3 linked regions of the Oryctolagus cuniculus genome follow. Each later gene encodes a partner of the first gene's protein in a complex. Links are inferred from orthologs where the notes say so. Each region holds a gene or a part of one and is shown on either strand. Other genes may lie near its edges.

Region 1 (5,414 bases):
TTCAATGACTAACTCAATTAAGGCACAAACCAAATTCAGATGGCTGTCTCATTACTTTACACAGGATCAAATGCAAAGATGAACTGTTTAATTACAAAGATCTTCAAATCTTTAGAGAAAATCCTAAACTTATTTCCCCCGGAGGGGGGTAAAAAAGATGTGTAAGTTTGAACAGTTCTTTGGGGAAGAACACAGACTGAAAGGCCCCTTTCTATTTACTGGACCAGAAGTTCCAAATCTCACCCCCTTAGTAAGACAGGATCCAGCTTGCAGTCACTTTCATTTTTTTTCTTCTGTGCTCTCCAAGCACCCTCCCCTCCCGGTTTGATCCTTAATGCCCCTCTGAATCTGATCCTCTCGTGTATTAACTGAGAGGATTGAAAAGGAGGAAAGCAATCCCTTGGCATGGAGACATTAAAGTGACAGTGCTACTCAATGGGCACTTGATGCAGGATGAGTTGGCGAAGCAGATTTCTTCACACTGGAATCATTCACATCATGCCATCTCTTCGCATCCAAGCAGCTCCCTATCCGGCGAGGATAAACACTGAGCCAGTTCGAGAGAAGCCAAACCTTCCCCCAAAGGTGTTTTCAGAGACGCTGTGGTAGTATTAGGCGTGTAAGCATCAGCTTGTGCAAACGGTCCGCGATTTCCTAAATGAGAGCGTGCAGCTGCTTGGCTTCCACAGCCACCCTTTCTCTCAATCTCTCCGAACTACCCACCTTCCTTTTGCAGAAAAGACAAGCCACCTCTCTGCCACCGCTGGCCACCCTGCCCCTACCCTGTTTTTATATAAAAGAGCACTAAAATGTCCTGCACCCTCCACGCGACGAAGTGTTTCCTCAGGCAGAAGAAACAGCAGCACTAGAAATTATATAACTCTCGAATTTGGCTTCTCTAAGACATGGAGACTGGAGGGTCGGGGGTTGTCGGTCTGGGAAATCGCGCTGGGCATTTACCAAGCACAAAAGAACGCCAAGCCTTCTCGAGGCGCCCCCAACCCCCACCCCAACACACCCGCTGACAAGGGAAGCGTCTGAGAGGAAGGAGGGCAAATTTCTCTCCGGTCCCTTTCCGAGGGGGCCGAAAGGATGAAATATGAGGGGACTAAAGACTGGGAGAGAGGAGTAGTCGGTGCGAGGGGAGGAGGCTAGTCGAGGCTGCTCTGACGGAGCTGGGTGGTCGTGTTGGGGCTCTGAAGAGGAGGCGTCCGAGAAATCAGAACCTTAACACACGGGCTGGGTCTGACAGGCGAGTTCCTTCAAGCAGTAAAGGGGATGGGGGCGGCTAGTCCCCAGCTAACAGGGCTGCCCTGAGGAGAGGAAGGCGCGCAGTAACACTGCTACACTCGGGACGCCCCTCGCCGCTCAGCACGGCTGCAGAAGGGGGAGGGTTGACTGACAAATAGCAGGGGGAGGAAATCCAGGAGGGCAGGAGGGGCGGGCCCACGGGCGTCTGGCCCACGAAGCCAATGAGTGGCGGTAATTCCTGCACGCGGAGCCCAATCACAGCGAGGATGGAGGGCGCGGCTTTTGACTGGGTGGGGGCTGCTTCGGGCTGTCGGCGAGAGGCGAGAGTCGTAAACCAACTCCACTTCCAGCCCAGGGCGTTCTGGGTCCCGCCCACTCGCAAGTCACGTGAGCTGCCAAAATGGCGGCGCTGAGGGGTGAGGCTGGTGCAGACGTGAAAGATGCCGGTGTGGTACCATTAGGAACTGGGGAAGCGCCCAAGGTAGGCAGAAGCCCGGAGTTGTATAGACAGTGCTTTCGCAGCCTCTTCTGAGGTGACTCACAGAAAGTGAATCTGAAAATCTGCAGTGAACAGCGCCCGTGCCCATTCAGGGCAGTATCAAGTCCCCTACGTAGGAAGCGCAGATAACGTGGAAGACCCAAAGACTATTCATGAAGCTTTTCTCTTGCTTTCGATCCTTTGTACGGGATTTTCCTTCAACTTGGAATACTTCCCTGCTCCTCCCTTCTCCTCTTTCGGATATTCATGTAAATATCACTTTCTCCGGTTGATATTTCTTCCTTGACCATATTCCTTTTAAAAAAAAATGAACCGTCATTCTGCGTTTAAATTTCCTGTTTTTGTTTTGTTGTTGACTGCCTGCTACTCAGAGGCCTGGCTTTTAGGGGTGCTCTTTAAATGATAAACGAATATAGAATAGAACCCTGAGCCGGCGCCGTGGCTCAATAGGCTAATCCTCCACCTTGCGGCGCCGGCACACCGGGTTCTAGTCCCGGTTGGGGCGCCGGATTCTGTCCCGGTTGCCCCTCTTCCAGGCCAGCTCTCTGCTATGGCCAGGGAGTGCAGTGGAGGATGGCCCAGGTGCTTGGGCCCTGCACCCCATGGGAGACCAGGAAAAGCACCTGGCTCCTGGCTCCTGCCAGGATCAGCGCGGTGCGCCGGCTGCAGCGGCGGCCATTGGAGGGTGAACCAACGGCAAAGGAAGACCTTTCTCTCTGTCTCTCTCTCTCACTGTCCACTCTGCCTGTCAAAAAAAAAAAAAAAAAAAAAAAAAGAACCCTGAAAGTCGGGTAAAGTGACATACATAAAAGCATTATAAAGGTTTAAAACGCTGTGCAGACTGTAAAACTACATTGATGCACTCTTATTGGTATGAGTGTAGTGACAAGTTGAAAGCTTGGACTAATTGATTTTTAGATAAAGTATTCGTTATCACAAAATCTTTATCTTTCAATGTTTGGTAAAAGTCTTATTCCTTTCTTCTAATGGGGAGACTGTAAGGAAAGCAGTTATTTTGATAGTGCCTTGCAAAGACTAAGCAAGTACTCAGTAAATATTAGCTGTTCTCATCTCATGTCCTGTATTCAAATTCCTAGGTGTTTGTTTTCCTAATACAAAACTGAGTGTGTAGACTAGGTAGCAGATTGGTACAAGACATTGCCTTCAAGTTTTCTTTGTGAGAGTTGGAGGTCTTCAATCATTTGAAAGACAGCAAAACAAAACTTTATGTAACATATTGAGTTAATCACATGACATTACTGACTGATACCTGACTTCATAGTATACTACATGGGCTAGGTACAGAATCTCTTTGACACTACTCTCCTCTCTTCCATTCTTCATGTGAATGTCAGGGGGAAGCAATTGTTTCCTGAAAAATTGTAATTTGTTGTTTTTTTTTTTCCTCTCCTGCCAAATATTTTAAAGAGACTGAAGCACTGTTCTGGAATGACACAGTTTAAGAAACTGGTCCATTATTACTCTTTTTTTTTTTTTAACACCATAAGAAGGTTCAAAGAAGCCCCTACCTTCTATATATATGTGGATGACATTGGGCAATGCATGGTTTATCCCTTCAGCACAGTTAGGATTGGTACATATCAATTACACGCCAAATGCCTACTTCACAGGTGTTCAACATACATCCATTAACCATGACAGTAGAAGCACCTGGTGCTATTAAAATGCACTTTGTAGGTCTTACCCCACTCATTGAATCCTTATACCTCAGGAAAGAGCTCAAAAGACTGCATTTAAAATAAACACCCCTTTGTGTTTATTGTGCACACTACAGGTTCAGAACTGCTAAACTGTTCATTATATATAATCTACTCTGCTTCGCTTGCCCACAACTCCTGAAATTTGGAATTTAGTATAGACCCTTCATTATAAAAGTTGTTAAAATGGAGATTGGTGTTAAAATTTTGAAGGCTCTTTAATTTTGTATCTATACATTGGCTAGTCTAGAGGAGATAGAGGGAAAAAGCAATAAATTTTCATAATTTACTGTTGTAATGGGTAAATATTTGTAACACCAAATTTGGATTTGTAAAAATTTTCGTATTTCCTTCTTTAAATAAAATTAAATACTACTCTTAAACCCTAAATTGTCATAATGGCAAAAGATTTGAATCATGTTATTGTTAAGACTTTTCAGAGACCCAAGAGCCTTATTATCCAGAGCAAAGCAGTTTGTTTTTACCTCATTGGCTTCTGTTATGCTACCAGCCAAGGCCTCGTGGTTTCTTGATGTTGGCAACTATCTATTCATTACCCTGGGAACATAGGAACCTTTGAACTACAGAGCCCAGTGTCCTAAGCCTAGGATCCCTGGTATACTAAATAGTCATTTCTGGTAAAAGGCCCTGCTTCTGCCTCAGGTACAATTAGAAAACTGGGTATATAACTTTCATAATCCAAGATAGCCATGGTCCACTTCCTAGAACAGAGTCCTGTCTGATTTTCTCCCTCACTATTCTCCAAGATAATCCCACTTTTCTCTTACTTCTTCAGGAAACTCAACATAATCTCCAAAATGAGCTCCAGCTTTCAAAAGAAACAGGATAGATAGTTGTCACCAAGTGCAATTGTTTCTACTCCTCAACAGAGGAGCTACAGCAAATAGGGCCTGGCTACTTTGCTGGGCTGAGGAAATGGGGAAACTGTACAGAAGACAAAAACTTAGTATTTTGGGAAATTTATCCTTCTACACTAAATCCTACCACAAGTCAAACTTTTTGAACCTGTTTTATCATCTTTAACACAAGAGATGATTATTATCCTACCTGTTTCTCAAAGTTATTGTGTGACTCAAAAGGCCTTTGTCTAACGTAATAAGATCTTAGTTAAATGTTGATTGAATCAATCATAGAAAGTATGTGAGAACACATGACATGGTATGTGGCACATTACTAGATTCTGAATGTATTTTTCATTTAAACCTATAGAATTTTAAGGTTTTTGTTAGTATTAGTATCATTAGCTATGTGATTCTGGAATTTTGTGTTTTCCAGGACATCAGAATGGCAACATATACACGTGGTCAGCCTAGTCCTTCTCTAAGAGATGCAAAACTCGGAAGACCAATGGTCATCGAAATCATAGAAAAAAAATTTGAATATCTTCGAAAAGAAAAGTAAGAGATACCCAGACTGAAAGTTGATAACTTTATTTGCACATCTTTTGTACTGCCATTGTTTCTGAGGAGTATCTAAGATCCTACTAACTTTATTGGGTTTGTTTTGAAGAAAACCTGTTTTAAAAAACTGGACAGAAACATGGACAGATGAAAATAGTGCTTTATTGGGATTGTGGATAATTTACTTCTTAAAAATGGTCCAAAATTATTGCTGAAACATTGTAGTAAATATTTTTTGATTAACAGTAATTAGGAGAGGGGCCAGCACTGTGGTGTATAGGTTAAGCCTCTGCCTGCAGTGCCAGCATCCATATGGACACCATTTCATGTCTAGGCTGCTCCTCTTCAAACCAGCTCTCTGCTTATGGCTTGGAAAAGCAGCAGAGGATGGCCCAAGAGCTCAGGCCCCTGTGCCTACATAGGAGACCTGGAAGAAGTTCCTGGCTCCTGGCTTCAGATCAGCCTAGCTCTGGCCATTGTGGCCATTTGGGGAATAAACCAGCAGATGGAAGTACTGTCTGCCTC
Region 2 (5,588 bases), on another chromosome or scaffold:
AAAAAAAAAAATTGTTTATTTGAGAGATACAGGGAGAGGGAGAGGGAGAAGAAGAAGTAGACACAGAGAGAGTGAACTTCAAAGGTCTGCACAGCCAGGGCTGGGCCAGGCTGAAGTTAGGAGCTGGGAACTCAACCTGTATCTCCCATGTGGGTGGCAGGGACCCGAGGTGCAATCAGGAGTGGGGCCAGGACTCAAACCCAGGCACTCCACGGTGGGAGGCTGGAGTTCCAAGTGCTGCTTTAACCATATGCTACGTACCTGCCCCAGATGTTGGCTTTTCTAATAAAGCAGGCCTGTACTGGAACACAGCCACCCCATGTTTTTGCACGGTCTACAGCTGCTTTTGCAATAAGCTGAGTAGTTATTGCAGACCATATGGTCTGCAAAGACTACAACATTTACTATACGGCTTTTCTTAAAAAATGAATTGCTGGCTGCAGTTCTAGGCCAGCATGGTTTTTTTTTTTTTTTTTTTTTTTTTTTTGACAGGCAGAGTTAGGCAGTGAGAGACACAGAAAGGTTTTCCTTCTCTTGGTTCAACCCCCAAAATGGCCGCTACGGTGCTGCGCTGATCCGAAGGCAGGAGCCAGGTGCTTCTCCTGGTCTCCCATGGGGTGCAGGGCCCAAGCACTTGGGCCATCCTCCACTGCACTCCCTGGCCACAGCAGAGAGCTGGCCTGGAAGAGGGGCAACCGGGACAGAATGCGGCGCCCCGACCGGGACTAGAACCTGGTGTGCCGGCGCCGCCAGGCGGAGGATTAGCCTAGTGAGCCGCGGCGCCGGCCGCCAGTAAGGGCTTTTAACAACCCACAGGTGTGTGCTGACTGCTGCCTCCCATGGCTGGTGTTCCTGCGACCAGTCTGTACAAGGGAGAGCCTCGCCACGAAGCTGATCGTAGCTGAAACGTACGCGCGCCCGCAGCAGGCAGATCTGAGCGCGGGGGGCACGCTTCCAAGGGTGCAGAGACTCACCAGGCTGCCTGTGACGACCTAGGACGTCCCCCCGACCCCGACCCCGACCCCGGCAGGGGCTGCACAGGGCGGGTGGAGACGGCCCGTGCTTACGGAGGCCTACTGCGAGCAGACACCTTGCATTTGGTCCTATTCGGATGACACGTAACAAGCACTGTCCCCGCTTCCGGCTGGGGCTAACTGGCCCAAGCTGAGGCTCCGCTAGGTCCTCTGGACTAGGAAATCTACACTTTCTTTCTTTAAGATTTATCTATTTGAGGGCAGAGTTGCAGACAGAGAGAGGTCGAGATAGAGAGAGGGGGTCTTCCACCCAAGGGCTCACTCCCTAAATGGCCGCAAGGGCCGCGGCTGCGCTGATCCGAAGCCAGGAGCTTCTTCCGGGTCTCCCACATGGGTGCAGGGGCCCAAGGACCGGGCCCGTCCACTGCAGCTTTCCCAGGCCATCAGCAGGGAGCCGGATCCGAAGTGGAGCAGGTGGGACTCAACCCGGCGCCCATATGGGATGCCGGCGCCGCAGGCACACGGATGTTTAACTAGTAACAGCCGCAGCGCCGGCCCGAACCCTGCGCTTTCAGCATCTCGCTCCAAGGTCCAGCCACGCGCGACGGGACGGGGAAGGTCACACAGCTGCTGAGGGGGCCTCGGCTGGGGTTCAGGGCTCGCGGCCAGAGAACGGGCTGCTTGTTCTAACCCAAGTTTCCCGACCCCGCCCTCCCTCTCCGAGCACCCCGGGATCTTGACGAGCTGCTTCAGGCCCGTCTCCCGCCGCTGGGGCACCCAGACCAAGGGCAGCCCCTGGAGGCGGGAGGCGGTCCTCAGTTGCACCCAGGCACCCAAGCTGGACGGTCGTTCGTCCCGTCTAGGAGCAGAAAGTGCTCCGTGCCGGCTGCCGCCAGCCCTCTGCGCGCCGCCTACCTGCCGCGGGGCGGTCAGGGTCCCGTCCACGTCGAAGAGGCAAAGCGCTGGTCCCGGAGCTGCCATGGCCCCCGTTTCCGTCCACACCTGAGACGACTCGTTGGCACCCGGACCTCGACCCGGAACTTCCGGGTTCGGCCCTCTTCGCCGCAGAGCACGTCGGGAAGAGACTCCCACAGCCTCCCACAATGCCCGGGGCTAGCGTCGGCCACGGACGCTACACCACAACTCCCAGCATGCAACGCGCGTAGTCCGAGCATGCGCCCTTAGAGTTTCCGGCGGCGGTGAGGTTGTATCCGGCGCCAGGGAGCAGGGCCATGGTAAGGAGGAGGGTGATGGGCTGCGTCGGGGTCGGAGCCAGTGTTGGGGCAAACAGGCAGGAATCCTGAGCTTCTGGTTTGTTGGGTCCTGGGGCGATTGCCCCGATGTGGGTTACGATGTGCTCCTCCACGGCTTGCTGTGGTCTTGCGGGGTCACGTGGGCCAGCAGCGGTGCTAGCGAGCCTCGCGGGGGTGCTCAGGGTGGGCCCCGAGCAGTCGGCGCTGCTTATCCGTGCGCTCCCCATCCATGGATTCACTCAGCTGCCGAGACAGCTGCGTCTGTGCGGAACGCCTACGGGCTCTTGCTACTCCCAAAGGAATCCCCCATAACCACTCTTTACGCCGCGTTTCCATCGTAGTAGTGGTATAAGGTATCACACAAACACTGTGCCATTTTGCATAAGAGACGTGAGCCCTCTGGTTTGGGTGTCTTGTCGTGCATCCCGGAACCAAGCCCCTGCCGGTGCTGATGCACAGTGGTGCTGCGTTTACGGCGTAAAAACCGTTGTCTCGTTCAGTGTGTTCTGAGTGCCCGTTGGTAAAGCCTAACGAACTCACGCAGGTGGAAGCCGAGTTCTGAGAGGAAACGGTCTCTTGTCTCCCTTCCAGGCTGCCCTCCTCCGAGCTGTGCCCAGGTGGCGGGGGCCGGCCGCCTGGGGAAAGCCCCTCTGCGGGCTGTGGTCCTGCGGTGGGCGAGAGGATCCCAAGAGGTGGGTGCGGAGCAGGTCTCCCGGTTCCGAGGAGAAAGCCCCGGGCACAGAGACCGAGAAGTTCCAGATGGTCTACCGTTTCGATGCCATCAGAGCGTTTGGGTACATATCTCGGCTGAAGGTGGCGCAGACGGCCCTGACGCTGGTGGCTCTGCCGCCCGGCTTCTACTGGTACTCCCAGGGCCTCATGCCGCTCGACTCGCTGTGCCTGGTGGGTGGCATAGCTGGCTTCGCCCTGGCCATGCTGTGCTGGATGAGCCATTTCTTCCGCAGGCTCGTAGGCATCCTGTATGTGAACGAGTCGGGCACCGTGCTGCGGGTGGCTCACCTCACCTTCTGGGGCTGGCGACAGGACACGTACTGCCCCGTGGCGGACGTGGTCCCCCTGACGGAGACGAGGGACCGGCCCCACGAGGTGTTTGTGCGCATCCAGCAGTACAGCGGGAAGCAGACCTTCTACCTACCTCTGCGCTACGGGCGCGTCCTGGACAGAGAGCGCTTCACACAGGTGTTTGGGAGACTGGACTCGCTCAAGTGATCAGCTGGGCCTCTGGGAAGCCCTGGGCCCCTTGGGTCACTAACCAAGAAGGCTGAGGGTGTAGACGAGGCCGAAGGAGGGAATCGGGCCCCTAGAGACTGTCAGAACCCTGGGAGTTTGTCTTTTCGGAAGAACACAGAAATTCGGACCCAGGTTTACGGGAAGGCGCCCGAGTGCGGATTCTTCCTGCACTTGCGCGTGCTGTTCTTGCAGATAATGGCCAGGAGGTTCTGTTCGGATCCAGTTCTTGGAGGAAGCTATGCCACGGTCACCCGGACAGTTCACGGGTATTTGGAAGACAGATGTGGGAGGAGCACAGGGTTTGGGGTGCTGTCAGCTCGCTGTTCTGGGCAGCTGACGGAGTCTGTGTGAGCCTTGGTTTCTCACGTCTGTCAAACGGAAAGTTCTTTCTGTCTCGTGGGCTGGATGTCAGAACACACAGTAAACATGCAAGGCCGTAGCCCTGGGCGACTGGGAAGCGTCTGCTCAGAGGTGGTGGTCGGGGCTTTCAGGCAGCGCGCGGGAGCCCTGTGTTCTGCCTCTCCATGCACCCCTTAGCAGAAGAGTGGGACGAAGCGTGGCGGGGGCATTGCACCCTCCCAGGATGGTAACTGCACCCCGAGTGAGGCGCGACGCCCCAGCTGAGATGTTCCGCACCCACAGGCCGAGGCCGTCCCGCTGCGTCATGGAGCCAGATGGGTGTGTGTAGTGCTCTACCTCTGCGTGTTGCCTCCCGTGATCGGTGTGTGTGTCGGCCACGTAGCTTGTAGCAGGGTAAAGGTCTTCGTGATTTTGCCACGCATAAGTCAATAAATTTCGTATCACCTCTGTTTTCATTGTCATGTACTCATCACAAATGTATCGTTGTAACCATGTTAAGTGTACAGTTCAGGGACAGTAAGTACATTTGCAGTGTGGTGTAACCACCCCCACAGTTCACCCCCAGAAGTTTTTCACCATCCCAGGGCCTCTGTACCCACAGAGCAGCACTCGCTCTCCCGTTGGCAGCCACTAATCCCCTTCTGCCTTAGAATCTGCCTGTCTGGACATGGCATGGCCTGGAATCACACAGTATGTGCCCTTTCGTGACTGGCTTCGTTGGCTTGGTGTGATGTTTTCAACGTGTGGGTAGCGTGTAGTGGCATGTAATTCTTCCTTATAGCTGGACGGTATTGTTCCGTGTACTGCCACGTTTGTCTCTGTTCATGTGCTGGGGGACGTTGGGATTATTTTCACCTTTGGGTGCATCCCAAGATGTGGGACTCCTAGGTCCTCTGGTAATTCTGTGTTTAACCATTGGAGGACCTGCCAGACTTTTTACAGTGGCTATGCCGGGTTACATTCCCATTGCAATGTCCAGAGGTTCTCTCCCCTCCCTGCCTCCCCCCTCCCCTTCCCTTTTTTAAAGATTTATTATTTATTTGAGAGGCAGAGTTACAGAGAGAAGGAGAGACAAGATCTCCCACTCACTGGTTCACACTCCAAATGGCCACAATGACCAGCTCTGTCAGGAGCTTCTTCCGGGTGAGGGGCCCAAGGACTTGGGCCGTCCTCTGCTGCTTTCCCAGGGGCATTAGCAGGGAGCCAGATCAGAAGTGGAGCAGCCAGCACTGGAACCAGCGCCCAATGGGATGCCGGTGCTGCAGGCTGAGGCTTTAAGCCACTGCGCCACACCTTCGGCCCCAGGGGTTCCGAGTTCTCTACATTCTCTCCAGCACTGCTTATTTCCCATTGTTCTGCTTATTGCCGTCCCAGTGGCTGTGAAGTAGTAAGTCATTGTGCGTGCAGAGTTTTTAAAAACAGTTGTTCTTTTTTTTTTTTTTTTTTTTTTTTCTGACAGGCAGAGTGGATAGTGAGAGAGAGAGAGACAGAGAGAAAGGTCTTCCTTTTGCCATTGGTTCACCCTCCAATGGCCGCCACAGCTGGCGTGCTGTGGCCAGCGCACAGCGCTGATCCGATGGCAGGAGCCGGGTACTTATCCTGGTCTCCCATGGGGTGCAGGGCCCAAGGACCTGGGCCATCCTCCACTGCACTCCCTGGCCACAGCAGAGAGCTGGCCTGGAAGAGGGGCAACCAGGACAGAATCCGGTGCCCCAACCGGGACTAGAACCCCGTGTGCCGGCACCGCTAG
Region 3 (5,511 bases), on another chromosome or scaffold:
CCCTTTTTCCTCACCCTCACCCCCAAGGAAAATACATTTGTTTTAGAACCCCAAAACCTGGACCAACTCACTGACATTGGGGTGGTAGAACAAAGTATTTATTATCAAAGCACTGAGCAGGGACCAGGCAGCTATTACTTAATTACCCTGAGGAGTTAGAGCCAGGGGTCTTGGGGCTGGCGCTGTGGTATAGCAGGTAAAGCTGCCACCTGCGGCACCGGCATCCTATATGGACGCCAGTTGGAGCCCTGGCTGCTCCACTTCCGGTCCTTCTCCCTGCTAGTGCTTCTGGGAAAGCAACAGAAGATGGCCCAAGTGCTTGAGCCGCTGCACCCATCTGGGAGACCTGGAGGAAGCTCCTAGCTCCTGACTGGTAGCTTTGGGATCTGCAGGGGAGAAGGCCCACACTTCCAGGAATGGAGAGTCCGTACCCCCACTTCCAGGAATGAAAAGTCCTTGCCAAGGTCCCTGCAGGCACCTAAAGGTCAACCAATGAGGATCAGGCCCGCCTCAACCTTTAACCCCCACACCCTGTACCTGTGTAAGGAGCCCTCCCAACCTCTGACACCTGACTTCCCCGGCCCCGCCCTGTTGGGCTGGGAACCTCGCCCAGGAGTGGAATCCCAATGAAAGCCTGTAAACTGATTGATCTGGCTGGGAAGATTTGTTTCGCGCTGGACACCTTGCACTGGCTTTAGGTTAGCCCAGCCCTGGCCATTGTGGATGGAACCAGCAGATGGAAGATATCTTTCTCTTCCTCTCTGCTTGTTTCTCCTTCTCTGTTAACTCTTTCAAATAAATAAAGCTTATTTTAAAAAAATATGGTCAGAGATCTTATAGATGGTTTTGGGATTGAGAAGTGTTTTTCATTCTTGTGCTGATCTTTGCCCTTCTTTGATTGACCAGCAATATCAGGTTCTTTCGGGAATTTTGATGATGGCAAAATACGCTCCAGTTAGGGGGGCTTGTAGCAGACGGGCCGGTATTTTTTACTCAGGGCTTGGGACTCCCAAAAAAACCCTTGAAGACCAAGATCTTGGTCTTGAAGACCAAGATCCAGCAAGATGTCAGCTGGAAAAGAGGTCAATGAACTCACAAATCTTGTGATGTGGGACCCTGTGGGGCAGCAAGACTCAATGTCCCATTCCCTCAATTAAGTGAATTTAAGAAGCAGTTGATTTGCAATCACATTGAGGCCGGGGAAGTGAGTTCTAATTTTTATTCCAGGCCCTGGAGAAGCAGTCTAACTACAGGCACATATGCAGCGCACAAAGTGGCAAACAAAGCTTTAAAAGGGAGAATGCAAACACGCACGCGGGTGGGCAGGGTGAGCAGAAGGGTCCTCGAGGAGAAAAGGGTGGGAGAGGGGAAGTAGAGAGGGTTGGCTTCAGACCCTGCTCCCGGCCCGCTCTGCACGGAGAGACGGCTCGGTTCTGGGGTCCTGGGCTGACTGTCCTGGGTCAGCAGAACAAGTAACCCTTAGGGCTACGGGAGAAGTCGGAGTGTGGGAGACTAAAGCGTGGTAGCAGGCAGCATCGACAGCCAGGCACGGCAGAGGGGCTCAGCGTCACATCCCCGTGAGCTACAAAGGAAGACAAAAGGGTCCCGGCGATTCCACCCTCCACTTAAAAGCAAGAAGCATGCCCCATGCTGTGAGCTCCCTGCAGAGGTAACCAACACCGTGCATTGCTTTGCATTGCCTCATTGACGGGGGCAAATGGGAGCACTTAGATTCCCGTTCGCCTGGGAAGCATAGTCCTAGGGCCTGCACTTTTGCAAACGACCGGCAGCCACCGTAAGCCTGAGCCTGAACCCAACAAAACTGCACGGACCCCGCCTAGCCACCCTCGCTCTCCAGGGGCGGCTGGCGGCGCAAGCGCAGTGGGTGCGGCGGCGCCGGCCAATGGCGTCATCAGGAGGCGCGGCCCGGGTGCCCTTGGCTGAGGCGCGGCGCTCGAGCCTGCACTTTCAGCGCCCGGAGCGGACGCCGGCAGCATGAGCGGCTGCGGGCTAATCCTGCGCACGGCGGCGGCCGCGCGAGTCTGTCGGGCTCTGGTGGCCTTCACGGAGAGCCGGCGCCCGCTGCGCACCAGCCCGCGGAGCGCGACTTTCGCCAAGGAGCTCTTCCTGGGCAAGATCGAGAAGGTAAGGCGAGCCCCGGGCCGACCGCTGCTCGCCGGTCACGGCAGGGCCGGAGCCCGCAAACGTGCCCGGCCAGATGTTCCCGAGGGGCGGTCCGTGCCGCAACCCCGGGATCCGAACCCGCCGGAGCCTTCCCAGGGGCCGGGGCCGGGTCCCCGGGCGGAGTGGCTTTGACAAGTCCCCGCGAGTTCTTCCAGGGAGTCTTGGGAGAGCCCTGGGGAGAGGTCGCCGAGCCACGCTCACCCGGGCTTTGCCGGCCCCCAAATGTGCGGGTTTTGCTTGTGGTACCTGAATCCCGCTCTGCCCAGGGCGCTCCTGGCACCTGTGGGGCCCCCCGGGGTTTCCCTCTGCGGCTGAGCCCTAGCCCCTCGCCCTGCCATTCAAGTTCTTCCTGAATCTGGCTCCGAGGTGCCCTCCGCCCCCTCCCTTCCGAGGATTGCACCACGCCCACAGCAACAATGTGGCTGCTGAACACCATCCTCTTTTGAAGACTGAGATTTGATCTTATCTCTGTGACTTTGAGCCTTGTCTCATTCGGCCTTAAAATGGAGCTGGTGGGTGTGTGTACCTCACAGATGTGTTGTAGAGCCCCTGTAGGGTTGATAGTGCATGGAAATTCTTCAGCTACAAGGGGCTCATTCATTCATTCATTCATTGATGCGTCTGCTGGTTCACTCCCCAAAATGCCTGTAATGGCCAAAGCTCATTCTCGGTCTCCCACATGGGTGACAGGAACCCAGTTGTTGGAGTTGTCACTGCTGCCTCCCAGATCTGTATCTGACCACCTTTAGGCTCAAGCACAGCTCCTCCTCTGGGTCAGGCCTCCCTCAGCATTTCTGGGTCTTTAGTAGGAACAGGGCAGCGACTATTAGCCTTTTAGAATAGAAAGAGAACCCCAGGTTATTGAGGCTGGTGAGCATCATTCTGCCCTTAGTTGGGGCAAAATTATAGGAAGGAGTGCCCCAGGGGCTCCTGCAGGGTTGAACGGGAGGCTGAGTCAGTGAGATTTGGGCCTCTCTTCTTATGAGCAGCCTCAATCAAGTTGCCTGGCTTTGATCTGTCTTACGTGACTTCTGCCCTAGATTTATGGGAATAACAGGTCTCCCTGCTTTACAAGTTTGAAAACTGTCCATTGCAACTGAGTTCCCCTCCCGTGAGGCACACCTGTCAGTTTTTGACCATTGTTGTCCAAGAACTCTTTCTCCCTGGCACCCGGGGCATCTCCCTGTAGCAGTTACCCTTTGGTTGTGGTCCAAGGCCACCAAGTTACCAGGCTGTCTCTATTCTGTCACGTGGCCTGCCCACCGATGTCAGTGATCATCCCCCTATCTCCTCCCATAGCCATTGCCCAGCTGACCAACAAGGCTAGGGAAGGGAGTGTGAGGGGGCAGTCGCCTCTGTTGGGCAGAGACAGCTTTGTCTCCAGAGGCTTGAGAGTGGTGACAGGTGTACCTGCCTTTCCTTCCAGACCCCCTTAGTAGAGGGTTGTGACAGAGAGGCAGGACACCGCTAAGTCTGCTGTCGCTTTTGGATAGGGTAGCCCCAATAAGCCTGCAGTCCTGGGGCCAGAGAGCTGAGGACAGATTGGGGAGCACGGTGCTGGAGTAGACAAGTCAGGTGGTCAATGAGATGTGCAGAGGCTGGGAACAAGGATGAGGACTTCTGTGACAACCTTCCTGAAGCTCCAGTGCCATGAGGACAGGCAGGGCTCCTGGGGCCTGGCAGCTTATAATAGGCACCCCCAAGTCCACTTCCTGGTGCCATGCTGGCTGCCGAAGGGTTAGTTGGAGTCCCAAGGCCAGAGGGGCTTTTGATACTGTGGAATGCTCTCCAGGGCCAGCAGGAGGGAATCCTGGGCTAGTCAGGGATTGGAAAGAGACTGGCAGCTAAGTCACTTTCCAGGTCACCAGGTGGGACAACAGTGGAGCCAGAAGCTGAGAACACTTACTTTATGTCCTGGGGCACGTGACCACAGTCACCTTCTGAGATAAAGAGAATCATCTGTGGGAGAGAACCGGACGGAGAGGGATGATGCAAGCTGCCCAGTCACCTGCGAGGAGTGGCTGTGCCAGGGTGAAGTTCAGGGCGATGTGGATCCACAGCTGGGCTTTGCTCTCTGATCCCACAGCACAGGGAGTGGCTGCAGCGACTGAGGGCCAGAGGCTCCGTGGTCAGATCTGGCAGCCACGCCGTGCTCCTGTCAGCAGCACCATTTTTAACTCAAAGTAACTGATGTAGGATTCTCTCCATTTTAGAAAAGACCTTTCTCATTCCGCCTTCCAGGATTCTCACAAGGAACTTGAGTCAACAGGAGCTTGGTGAGGTGAAGGGAGGTGGCTGCGGCCGCAGTTGGCAAGTGGCAAATCCAGGACCAGACTCAAGTCCTGGACTTCCTGTTCTATGGGACAGTCCTCATCACTTGTTATGGATAAGGAAAGTGGTGTGTGGGGAGGAAGATGGCCCTGGGACAGCCTGCATCTTAAGCGCTTGGTGTAGTCTTTATAACTGCAGTGAGTTGTGTCCTGCTGGCCAGATGAGGAATCTAGGATGCCCTTTTCTTTCCCCTTTCACCAATATTACTGCAGTAGGGGCTGCTAGGTATTAAATTTTCAGAGACTGGTGTTGTGGCACAGTGGGTTAGGCTGCCATCTGTGATGCTGACATCCCATTTAGGCGCCAGGCTGAATGGCTGCTTCATTTCTGATCCAGCTCCCTGCTGATGTGCCTGGGAAAGCGCTGGAAGACGGTCCAAGTGCTTGGGCCCCTGCCACCCACGTAGGGGACCTGGATGGCCTGCCAGGCTCCTCCTTTCAGCCTGGCCCAGCCCCAGCTGTTGGGGCCATTTGGAAAGTGAACCAGCAGATGGAATATTTGCTTTCTCCCCCCACCCCTTAACTCTGCCTTTTAAATAAATAAACAAGTCTTTTAAAAACTAACTATTTTTGTAAATGTTTATCATTTTTAGAAAGGAGTTTTCCCGTTTCCAGAAGTTAGCCAAGATGAACTTAATGAAATCAATCAGTTGGTGGGACCCGTAGAAAAATTCTTCATGGAAGAGGGTACGTATGGTTTTCCTTCTCATTGCCGATCTCCATCAGCAGAGCCATGATGCTGGTGTTTCTTTTAGAAGCAGCACACTGTAGGGGAAGCACTTTCGAGAGTTGTGAATGAGGGAGAAGTCAGTTTTATCAGAGTATCTTACTTTGGGATCATCTCAGTTGCTGATCCATTACAAGAATTCCAGTTCACTGCTTCTAGATGTGTCCGTGATAAAGGGCCACTTGTAAACATTTCCACGTGTATTGCAGACTTACATAAATTATAATGAAAATATAAAATGTCAAAATAACTGCACAACTGGGATGAAGC

The links. Proteins that work in one complex are often made in the same cells at the same time.
Region 2: TMEM126B (region 1) and TMEM186 share a complex: the UniProt entries of both Homo sapiens proteins name them as parts of the mitochondrial complex. The link is inferred for Oryctolagus cuniculus from reciprocal best matches to the Homo sapiens genes TMEM126B and TMEM186.
Region 3: TMEM126B (region 1) and ACAD9 share a complex: the UniProt entries of both Homo sapiens proteins name them as parts of the mitochondrial complex. The link is inferred for Oryctolagus cuniculus from reciprocal best matches to the Homo sapiens genes TMEM126B and ACAD9.

Annotation. Positions count from the first base shown.
Region 1 is NC_091432.1:76,706,720-76,712,133, forward strand, and holds the start of TMEM126B (complex I assembly factor TMEM126B, mitochondrial), read left to right. Parts: upstream 1-1,555; 5' UTR 1,556-1,651; coding exon of another isoform or gene 1,652-1,732; 5' UTR 1,733-1,902; coding exon 1,903-1,998; intron 1,999-4,764; coding exon 4,765-4,886; intron 4,887-5,414. UniProt on the Homo sapiens protein: As part of the MCIA complex, involved in the assembly of the mitochondrial complex I. Participates in constructing the membrane arm of complex I.
Region 2 is NC_091450.1:27,395,191-27,400,778, forward strand, and holds TMEM186 (transmembrane protein 186), read left to right. Parts: upstream 1-2,084; 5' UTR 2,085-2,206; coding exon 2,207-2,209; intron 2,210-2,818; coding exon 2,819-3,457; 3' UTR 3,458-4,286; downstream 4,287-5,588. Other genes in the region: PMM2 (phosphomannomutase 2), read right to left, coding at 1,890-1,955. UniProt on the Homo sapiens protein: As part of the MCIA complex, required for efficient assembly of the mitochondrial complex I.
Region 3 is NC_091441.1:111,793,152-111,798,662, reverse strand, and holds the start of ACAD9 (complex I assembly factor ACAD9, mitochondrial), read left to right. Parts: upstream 1-1,909; 5' UTR 1,910-1,995; coding exon 1,996-2,145; intron 2,146-5,107; coding exon 5,108-5,201; intron 5,202-5,511. UniProt on the Homo sapiens protein: As part of the MCIA complex, primarily participates in the assembly of the mitochondrial complex I and therefore plays a role in oxidative phosphorylation.